Linked DNA regions of Callithrix jacchus. The protein of the gene in region 2 purifies or fractionates together with the protein of the main gene of each other region. This does not show direct contact. Links are inferred from orthologs where the notes say so. Each region holds a gene or a part of one and is shown on either strand. Other genes may lie near its edges. The genes, in order: TMEM186 and HEATR3.

Region 1 (4,564 bases), on a different chromosome or scaffold from region 2:
GGCAGGAGAATTGTTTGAACCCTGGAGGCAGAGGTTGTGGTAAGCCAAGATCTTGCCATTGCACTCCAGCCTGGGCAACAATAACGAAACTCCTTCTCAAAATAACAAAAAAGATATATTTGTTAGGTGTATCTTGCTATGGTTAAGAAAAATGAAAGGCTATACAATAAAATATTGTTACTGACTTTTGAGTGGCGAAATCATAAAGGTCGCGCCTTCCTTCCTCTTGACTGTGTTACGGATTGTATAATGAACATATTATTAATTATGCAGAGCAGTGTATATAACTGGCTTTAGTTTATAAAACAGTGTACCAGCATACGTCCATCTGGCTTTATTACACTGCAGGGCCATCCAAAGCAAGAGTCTCTAGACCTCTGGGTGGGGTTTTGTGCTCACCTGGATGACATCTCTGCTCATTGATGTGTAGTTAACAGTCCCTTCTGGTAGTCCCTTCTGCCGCTGGACATGTGAGGGGGCACAGCACAGAGTTCTGGATGTCGCTAGTGACTGCTCAAAGTCTTTCTCCATGCTGAAACCTCTATACAAATGCTTAATATCTGCTCTGGGCTGTTGAGTCCGCAAAAATTTTGACATTTATTGTTTATTCCCACACCCATCCCATGCAACAAGAAGACTTTCCATTTTATAGATGGAGGTTCAAAGAGGCTCAATAACCTCTTTGCCAGGACAAGTAACAGAACTGAGACTTCTGGCTCCAAATTCTACACTCCCCTGCCACACCTCTTTGCCTTCCCATTTCACAGCAATGGACTGTCTGGGTGACCTTGGCATAGGTTCCTTTAATAACTGGCTCCTAACAGAAACCTCCAGCCATTATCTGACTGAATGTCACACACAAGTGCTATCAGAACTTGCACTTAGCCGGGTGCGGTGGCTTACACCTGTAATCCCTGCACTTTGGGAGGCCGAGGCAGATGGATCAAGAGGTCAGGAATTTGAGACCAGCCTGGCCAACATAATGAAACCCCGTCTCTACTAAAAATACCAAAAAAGTTAGCCAGGTGTGGTGGCGAGCACCTGTAGTCCCAGCTACTCGGGAGGCTGAGGTGGGAGAAGCGCTTGAACCTGGAAGGCGGAGACTGAATAAGCTGAGTTCACACCACTCCAGCTTGGGGAAAAGAACGAACTCCATCTCAAAAAATGAAAAGAAAAAAAAAGAACTTGCATTTAGAGCCTTTTTCCTAAACCTGGACACCAAATCTCACCTTGTAAATTTCTACATCACAAAACACATGTTCCCAGGGGCCCAGGAAAGTCTCCAAGTACTCAATCCCCTTTCTTCAATCTTGCGCACACCCTCGGCCTTCCTGTCAATCCAGGCAACCCAGAATTACCCAGAGGTCCAGCTCCCAGTTGTTTACTTGAATATCTGCAGCGCCCCAAACACCTGTGTGAAACACTCTTTGTCCAGGATGCGTCCGTGGCGTAGGGTAAGGTAGAAGGTCTGTTTCCCACTGTACTGCTGGATACGCATGAACAGCTCCTCAGGGCAGTCCTTGGTTTCTGTCAGGGGTATCACATCTTCCACGGGACAGTATGTGTCCTGCCGCCAGCCCCAGAAGTTCAGGTGGGCCACCCGCAGTATGGTGCCAGACTCGTTCAGATACAGGATGCCAACCAGTCTCCGAAGGAAATAGCTCATCCAGCAGAGCATGGCCAGAGCAAAGCATGACACCCCATTCATGATGCAAAGGGACTTGAGAGTCAGGAGGCCCTGGGAGTACCAGTAATAGCCTGGTGGCAAAGCTATCACTGTCAGGGCAGTCTGTGCCAACTTCAGTCGAGACAGGTACCCGAAGGATCTGATGGCATCAAAACGGTAAAACATCCGGAATTTCTCAGTCTCTGTGTCTGGTGGTTTCTCCTTTGAGGTGGGTGACGTGCTCCCCAGCCACCTCTTAGGATCCTCCTGCCCACTGCAGCACCACCACAGCCCATGGAGAGGCCGTCCCCATGCAGTTTTTCCTGGAAACCTAGGCACAGCTCGGAGAAGGGCAGCCTGAAAGGGAGATAGTAGACCATTTCTCTTATGGAACTCAACCACATTAATCACACGGTAAACATCTGCAAAGCATCTCACTCCAAGGCTTTTGCCAATCCTGCAAGGTCACCATTATTGCCAGAGAAGGAAAGGGTAAAGCCAGATGCTACCTCATGTGAGCAACACAACAGCTACCTAAGATAGGTATCCCTATTTCCACTTTACCACTAGGGAAACTAAGCCCAGAGAGGGTAAGATGTTTACCCAAACATAGTCAGTGAGTGCAGCAGAGTCCGACTCTCAAACCGGGCCTCTTTTCACCAGGCAATTCCAAATAAATATAGGAAAAGAGGTACAGCCTTCATTAACTCACAACCTATCTAGGCAGGACCAACTCTGGGCTGGACAATGGATCCAAAAGGGGTTGTGAACATTTCCCCAAGCAGGATACTAAATAATCAGTGTCTTAGTGGGGAACTTGAGCAACAAATCTGTGAAATATTTATCCCAATAACTTTCCAATTCTGTTTGATTTATATGTCATCTTGGGTGCTAGAGGAAACTGCTGCTTTCTTAGCCTAGTCTGGGGAAGCAGAAATAGCAGAGGAGGAGGAGAGAAGCAGGAAGGCCCCAACACATAGCACAAGGATATTATTAGGTGAGTAACGAGGCAGTAAAAGTTCTGGTTCCGGTTCTGGCTCCAACAGTCACTGCCTGTGGATTCTTGAGCAAATTACTTCCTTCACACCCCTGAGCTTCCGTTTCTTCACCTTTCAAAATGGGGACTCAGAACACAGTGAACCAGAAGATGGTTTAGAGCCCTCAACTTAGTACCTGATGCACTGTGAGAGCCTGGCCAGTTTTAGCGAGTACTACTGCTGCGCACGTGACCCAAGGAGGTCAGAGAAAGCCGGGGGAATGGCGAACTGTAACCCACGCTGAAGCCTCCTACTAGGGATTCTCCGAGTCCGACAGTAGGGCGTCTTGTCTGCCTGCCCCAGCTCTGACCCCGATCCCCAAAACAAGGCTCGTCACCCGCCTCCTTACCATTGTCCCACCGCCTGCTGCCGGAAGTAAATGCCACCGGTCCCCGGAACCTCTAAGAGGGCATGCTCGAACGTACAAGGCGGGCGTGACCGCGTTGCACTCTGGGAGTTGCGGTCCAGGAATCGTGGCTGGCGCTAGTCCCAGGCATTGTGGGAACAGAGTCTCCTCTTCCCGACGTGCCCTGCAGCTCGGGGGCCGAACCCGGAAGTTCCGGGCTGAGCTCCTGGTGCCAACGAGTCTCGTCAGGAGCAGCTAGAAACTGGGGATATGGCAGGTCCCGGCCCAGCGCTCTGCCTCTTCGACGTGGATGGGACCCTCACCGCTCCGCGGCAGGTAAGTGGCGGTAGCAGCCGAGACGGAGCCCGTGCTGTTCCCAGTTGAAGTTATCGACCACCCAGGGTGGGCGCCAAGGGGTAGCTGAGGACCGCAGAAGTGTTCATGGGGGCTGAACCCTACTCGGGGTGTCCTGGAGGAATGAGAGTGAAGCTCTGACCAGCTCTTCAAGAGCTCTTGGTGCTTGGAGAGATGAGACGGGGCTGAAGAACTCCTAAGAGCAAGAAACTTGTGCTGGGTCGGAAAATGCAATCTGGATTCACGGCTGGTCCTCGGGACTGTTGGACCAGGATTTGTACCCGAGATCAAGCCCCCTTTTCAGCTATGTTACAGACATTCTCAGTCCTGTAACCAATGAGCTGTGCCGTGAATAATATTTTTAAAAGGTTTCCAGGTCAAACCGACCTAGTGGAGTCTCGTCTTCACCTCTTGACAGCTGTGTGACCTTGAGCAAGTCATTAATGTCTCTGAGCTTCAGCATCTACAGCTTTTTTTTTTTTTTTTATAGGAGTTTTCGCTTTTGTCTCCCAGGCTAGAGTGCAATGGGGCGACCTCGGCTCACTGCTGTAACCTCCGCCTCACAGGTTCAAGCAATTCTCCTGCCTCAGCCTCCGAAGTAGCTGGAATTACACGCACCTACCGCCACGCCCGGGTCCTACCTCAGCCTCCCAAGTAGCTGGGATTACAGGCACCTGCCGCCACGCCCGGGTCCTGCCTCAGCTTCCCAAGTAGCTGGGATTACAGGCACCTGCCACCACGCCATGCTAATTTTTATATTTTTAGTAGAGACAGGGTTTCACCATGTGGACCAGACTGGTCTCAAATTCCTGACCTCAGGTGATCACTCGCGTCAGCCTCCCAAAGTGCTGGGATTACAGGCATGAGCCACCACGCCTGACCTCATCTTCAGCTTTAAATGGGGATATTACCCCCTGTGCCATATGGTGTCTGTGAGGTTCAGATGAGATTACATAAATTCTTGAAATTATATTGCACATAACACACTAGGCTTCAATAAACAGCCACCTCCACCGCACCCATCTCCAGCCCCTGCAGTGGACTCGGGAAATGGAGGACCCCTAGGTTATTAAAGGCTGCCTGCTGAGACCCACTTTAGGGCCTTGGAAACGTGCTTTCCACTTCCAGATATTGCTGCTGCAGGCACAGATAAGTTTCAGT
Region 2 (4,575 bases):
AGAGTAGATCGGTGTTTCCAGGAAAAGGAATTAAATTTCCATACAATGTTTAGGTAGAAGACAAAGTCACTAACGTCAAAGTACTAAAAAAAGTCTAAGTTTGCATCCCAAAAGCTACCATCGAGTTACTGTAAAAACTGCATACCTCTTTTAGCAGCGCGACCAGAGGGGTCATGATATCCTTAGTCACCATGTCATCACAAACTTCAAAACCTCCACAAGCACTGAGATTTCTACACAAGAAGTTTAAAACATGTTTTACTTTCACATCACATGTCACAAAACACTTCTACACTCTCAAATTATATCTATTTTTAGCCATATTTAAGTTTTCCCAGAGGAAAGAGCTTACTGTTTCTGTCATATGCTGCTGAACCAATCCAGAGATTTCCACCTGTTCTGATCCTTGTTCTACAAGATGTAAACAGATGACTCTGTCATATAACAACTTAGTTCTGAGGTCTGAGACAGTATACAGGTACATAGCTACAAGAAGGGGAGAAGGGAGACTTTTCCCACATGAATAAATCATGTACGAAGGGATCTGTTCTTGAAATTAAGACTACAAGGGCAGGGATAGGTGCTGTGGCTCACACCTGTAATCCCAGCACTTTGGGAGGCTGAGGTGGAGGATCACTCAAGCTCTGGAGTTCAAGACCCGCCTGGGCAACATAGAAAGACCCCATTTCTACAAAAAAAAAAAAAAAAAAGAAAGCAAACTGCAAGGGCAGCAAGGTGGGGCTCAGGTGAATGACACCTCCTAAAGTAGCCCTGGCTAAATTCTAATTGGAAAGATATGAGCCTTCCCAGTGCACAGCACTGTATTAGGCCCTAAGGATATGGATAGTCACAATCCTCCAGGATCCCCTAGCCTGTGTATGCTGTGGGAGGAAGGGAAGGGCTTTCCACATGCTGTTTCCTTCCTAGGGGAAGTAGGGCATCTATTTCCCCCATTCATCCTTCAGAGCTGACCTCAAGCATCACTCACTCAAGAGTCTTCTTCCCTGAACCGGTTTGTACCCTCTTGCAGCACCCTTTGTCATTGCCATTCGTTGCAATTATACAGTTATCTAATTGTTTGGTTAATGCCGGTCTCCCTCAATAGACTTTAAGATTTCTTAAAGAGAGACACTACCTTGCCCATTACCCCATGACCACAGCCTAGCTCACTGGCACACAGTAGGCACTTGACACATATTGGCTAAATCAGTGAATGAAACATAAATCACAAGTAGAGACAGAGCTGTAAGAACTGCCAAGTATTAACTTCTGCTCTTGCCCCCTCTGCAGTCCATTCTCTGCACAGCCACCACAGTGGCCTTCTGAAAAGGTGAGTTATATATAATATGCCACTTTCCGGCTTAGAGTAAGTAAGTCCTCAGCCCTACACCATCCTACAGATCATCCCTCTCTCAGGCCTCACCTTTTTAATTACTCACCCCTGCTCTTCTCAGGCACCTACCCTCTCTGCTCTTCAATCATGCCAAACCACCTGCTGCTTCGCTTCTTTGCTGCTGCTGTTCCCTTTTTGGGTAATGCTCTTCCCCCTATTTTTCCACGTCTCCTAGCTCTCTCACCCTGCAGATCTCAGTTCACAAGTCATCTAAAAAGCACCTTTTTTTTTCTTTCTTTTTTTTTTTTTAAAGAGACAGGGTCTTGCTCTGTCACCCAGGCTGGAGAGCAGTGGTGTGATTACGGCTTACTGCAGCCTCAAACTCCTGGGCTCAAGCAATTCTCCCACCTTAGCCTCCTGAGTAGCTGGGGTTACAGACACCCACCACCATGCCTAATTGTTTAAAAATTTTTCTACAGACGGGGTCTTGCTATGTTGCCCAAGCTGGCCTTGGACTCCTGGCCTCCAGTGATCCTCCTTCCATGGCCTCCCAAAGCAATGGGATTACAGGTGTGAGCTACCACGCCAGGCTCAAGAGCACCCAATTCAAACTTCCACCCCCAACTCATCATCTCGTTTTCCCACAGCAATTCTCACTATTTAACATCATGTGTTACCTTTTTACTAGCTTCCTGTCTGCCCCCCATCAACACGACTTGTGCCAAGACAGGGATCTTGGCTGTCTCGCTCAACAGTCTTGGCTGCATAAAATCCCCTGCATCTAGAACAATTTCTGACACATGAACTGAAAATTTCATCCAAGCAAGGGACCCTATGGAGGGCTTTTGGAACCAGTAAAACGTGCACCAGGCGTGAAGGCAGAACGCCTGAGCAGGTGGACGCTGCAGATGAAGCAGCCAGGTAGACAGACAGATGAGATGCCTGTGGTCCGGGGATACTGGCGTTCTCCGGAGCCTGGAGAGTGGGTTCAATCTCTGCAAACAGATCGCACCAGTGCCTCTCACACAGAAAGCGCTGGCTGACCGCTGCGACTGCCTGGAGCCCAGGCGCGTGGGAGACTAGCGGTGGCACCGCCCCAGACCCTTTCCCGGCTCACCTCAGCGCGCCGGCTGCAGTCTCTCTGACCGCCAGGCTGGGGTCCAGCAGCAGCGGCCCGAGGCGGCGCACCGCGTCTCGACGCGCCAGGCCAGGGAGCGCGGGCCGCTGCTGCACCAGCCGGGCCAGTCCCGCGCAGGCGCACTCGCGGACCTCGGCGCTCGGGTGTTGGAGCTGTGGACAGCAAGAACCATCAGAAGGCACGCAGAGCGCAGTGCGCACGCGCGCGGGACAGCCTCACCTCGACACCCGGCTCTGCGAAGCCCCCGCCTCACTTTTTCCAGCAGTTCCACCGCCGGCCCGTCGTCATCCTCGCCTCCGGTCCCATTCACCGCCGCAGCAGCATCGGCCTGACAGTCGCCCGTAGGGGAGAACTGAGGTCGCTTGAAGCGCTTCGTCCGGCTCTTGCCCATGGCGACGTGCACTGTGCGGACCACCGAGAGAGGAGGGCAGCAGCAGGTGATGGAGGCTACCGCGCTGGTGACAAGGTCCGTTGCCAAAGGACTTTCCCACTGCTGCTCAGCTGGGCCGGCTGACGGCTGGAGAACACATGGGGAACCAGTGCGCAGGCGCGCGGCGCGTCGACAGCGGGGCGAAGGCAGGCGCGCGGAGCGCGCAAGCGTGGAAGAGGATGTGGGCGGGGCCAGCTTCGGCAAAGGGGCGGAGTCTTGTGGGTAATATCAGGAAGTAGGAGGCTGGACTAGAATAGTAACGCTGACTCAGGCGAGAGTATCACCTGAGGCCAGAAGTTCGAGACCATCCTCGGCAACATAGGAAAACACTCCAGCCCTCCGGCCCCGCTCCCCCCAAAATTAAAAATTAGCTGAGTATAGTGGCTTGTGTGTGTAGTCCCAACTACTTGGGAGGTTGAAATAGGGGGATCACTTGGGCCCAGGAGTTTGAGGCTGCAGTGAGCCTTGATCCTGCCACTGCACTCCAGCCTGGGTGACAGAGTGAGACCCTGTCTCAATCAATCAATCAATCACACTATAAATAAATATAATTAAGGATACCATTCAGTGAGGATGTATGTTTGAAAAGTAAAATATTTTTTTTTTTATAAAAAGGATACCTGACTTGCAAGGTTATTGTAAGGTACACATAAAGTTCTATGAAGTGCCAGACACCAAGCCTGACATATAGTAGGTACACAAAAAAGTATTAACCGTGATTTTGTCTCCCCAGCACCTCCCATAGCTCCTGTCATAGATCGAGACCACTTAATGTTTTGGAACGAATGTATGTCTATATTTGATAAAGCAGAATCGCTTAAGAAGTTAATCTACCTGCCTTAGGTTCCTCATCGGTGAGGTAGGGACATCAATAGCATATACCTTATGGAGTTGTTATGAAGACCAAATGTGTTAATCTATTTAAGGTGCTAAGAACAAAGACCGGCAGATAATAAGCACTATGTAAATGTTTGGAAACTTTTGTTTAACAAAGAGATTCTTTTGCAAATATTTGTTGAGTACTAGGTACAGCGCTGGGCATTGGAATAAAACAATAATCAAGGCAGTTTGGTTTCTGTCCTGTCTTCCTGTCCTTATGGAGTTTACCGTCCAGGGAGAGATCTGTTGAATATATAATTATATTAATAACTTTGGTTATAATTGTGGTAAATACTAAGCAGAGGAAAAAGAACAGAAGAATCTCAGGTAGTCTTTATAATTACACATGTAATTAGTGAGTACTCAGTATACCCATAGCTTTGGGTCAACTTTCCGTTTTTCTTTTTTTTGAGATAGAGTCTTGCTCTGTTGTCCAGGCTGGAGTGCAATGGTGCAATCTTGGCTTACTGCAACTTCTGCCTTGGAGCCACTAAATATATGTTGGTGGGTTTTACTTACTGTATATCTTATCGGGCCATTGATTTGCCTGCCACCTACCTAGTCTAGGCCACCGATTTGTTTGTTTTGTCTTGTTTTTTGAGATGGAGTCTCTCTCTTATTGCCCAGGCTGGAGTGCAATGGCACCATCTCAGCTCACTGAAACCTCCGCCTCTCGGGTTCAAGCGATATTCTTGCCTCAGCCTCCTGAGTAGCTGGAATTACAGGTGCCTGCCACCATGCCCAGCTAAGTTTTGTATTTTTAGTAGAGACAGGGTTTCACCATGTTGCCCAGTT

What was found.
Region 1: the proteins of HEATR3 (region 2) and TMEM186 purify together in Homo sapiens (co-immunoprecipitation; 3 studies listed by BioGRID and IntAct, counting the BioPlex papers as one, with this or other methods). This does not show direct contact. The link is inferred for Callithrix jacchus from reciprocal best matches to the Homo sapiens genes HEATR3 and TMEM186.

Annotation. Positions count from the first base shown.
Region 1 is NC_133513.1:11,045,281-11,049,844, forward strand, and holds the start of TMEM186 (transmembrane protein 186), read right to left. Parts: upstream 3,081-4,564; 5' UTR 3,056-3,080; coding exon 3,053-3,055; intron 2,024-3,052; coding exon 1,382-2,023; 3' UTR 1-1,381. Other genes in the region: PMM2 (phosphomannomutase 2), read left to right, coding at 3,320-3,385. UniProt on the Homo sapiens protein: As part of the MCIA complex, required for efficient assembly of the mitochondrial complex I.
Region 2 is NC_133521.1:7,861,852-7,866,426, reverse strand, and holds the start of HEATR3 (HEAT repeat-containing protein 3), read right to left. Parts: upstream 3,010-4,575; 5' UTR 2,863-3,009; coding exon 2,725-2,862; coding exon of another isoform or gene 2,691-2,724; intron 2,624-2,690; coding exon 2,451-2,623; intron 412-2,450; exon of another isoform or gene 353-411; intron 236-352; exon of another isoform or gene 234-235; coding exon 146-233; intron 1-145. UniProt on the Homo sapiens protein: Plays a role in ribosome biogenesis and in nuclear import of the 60S ribosomal protein L5/large ribosomal subunit protein uL18 (RPL5). Required for proper erythrocyte maturation.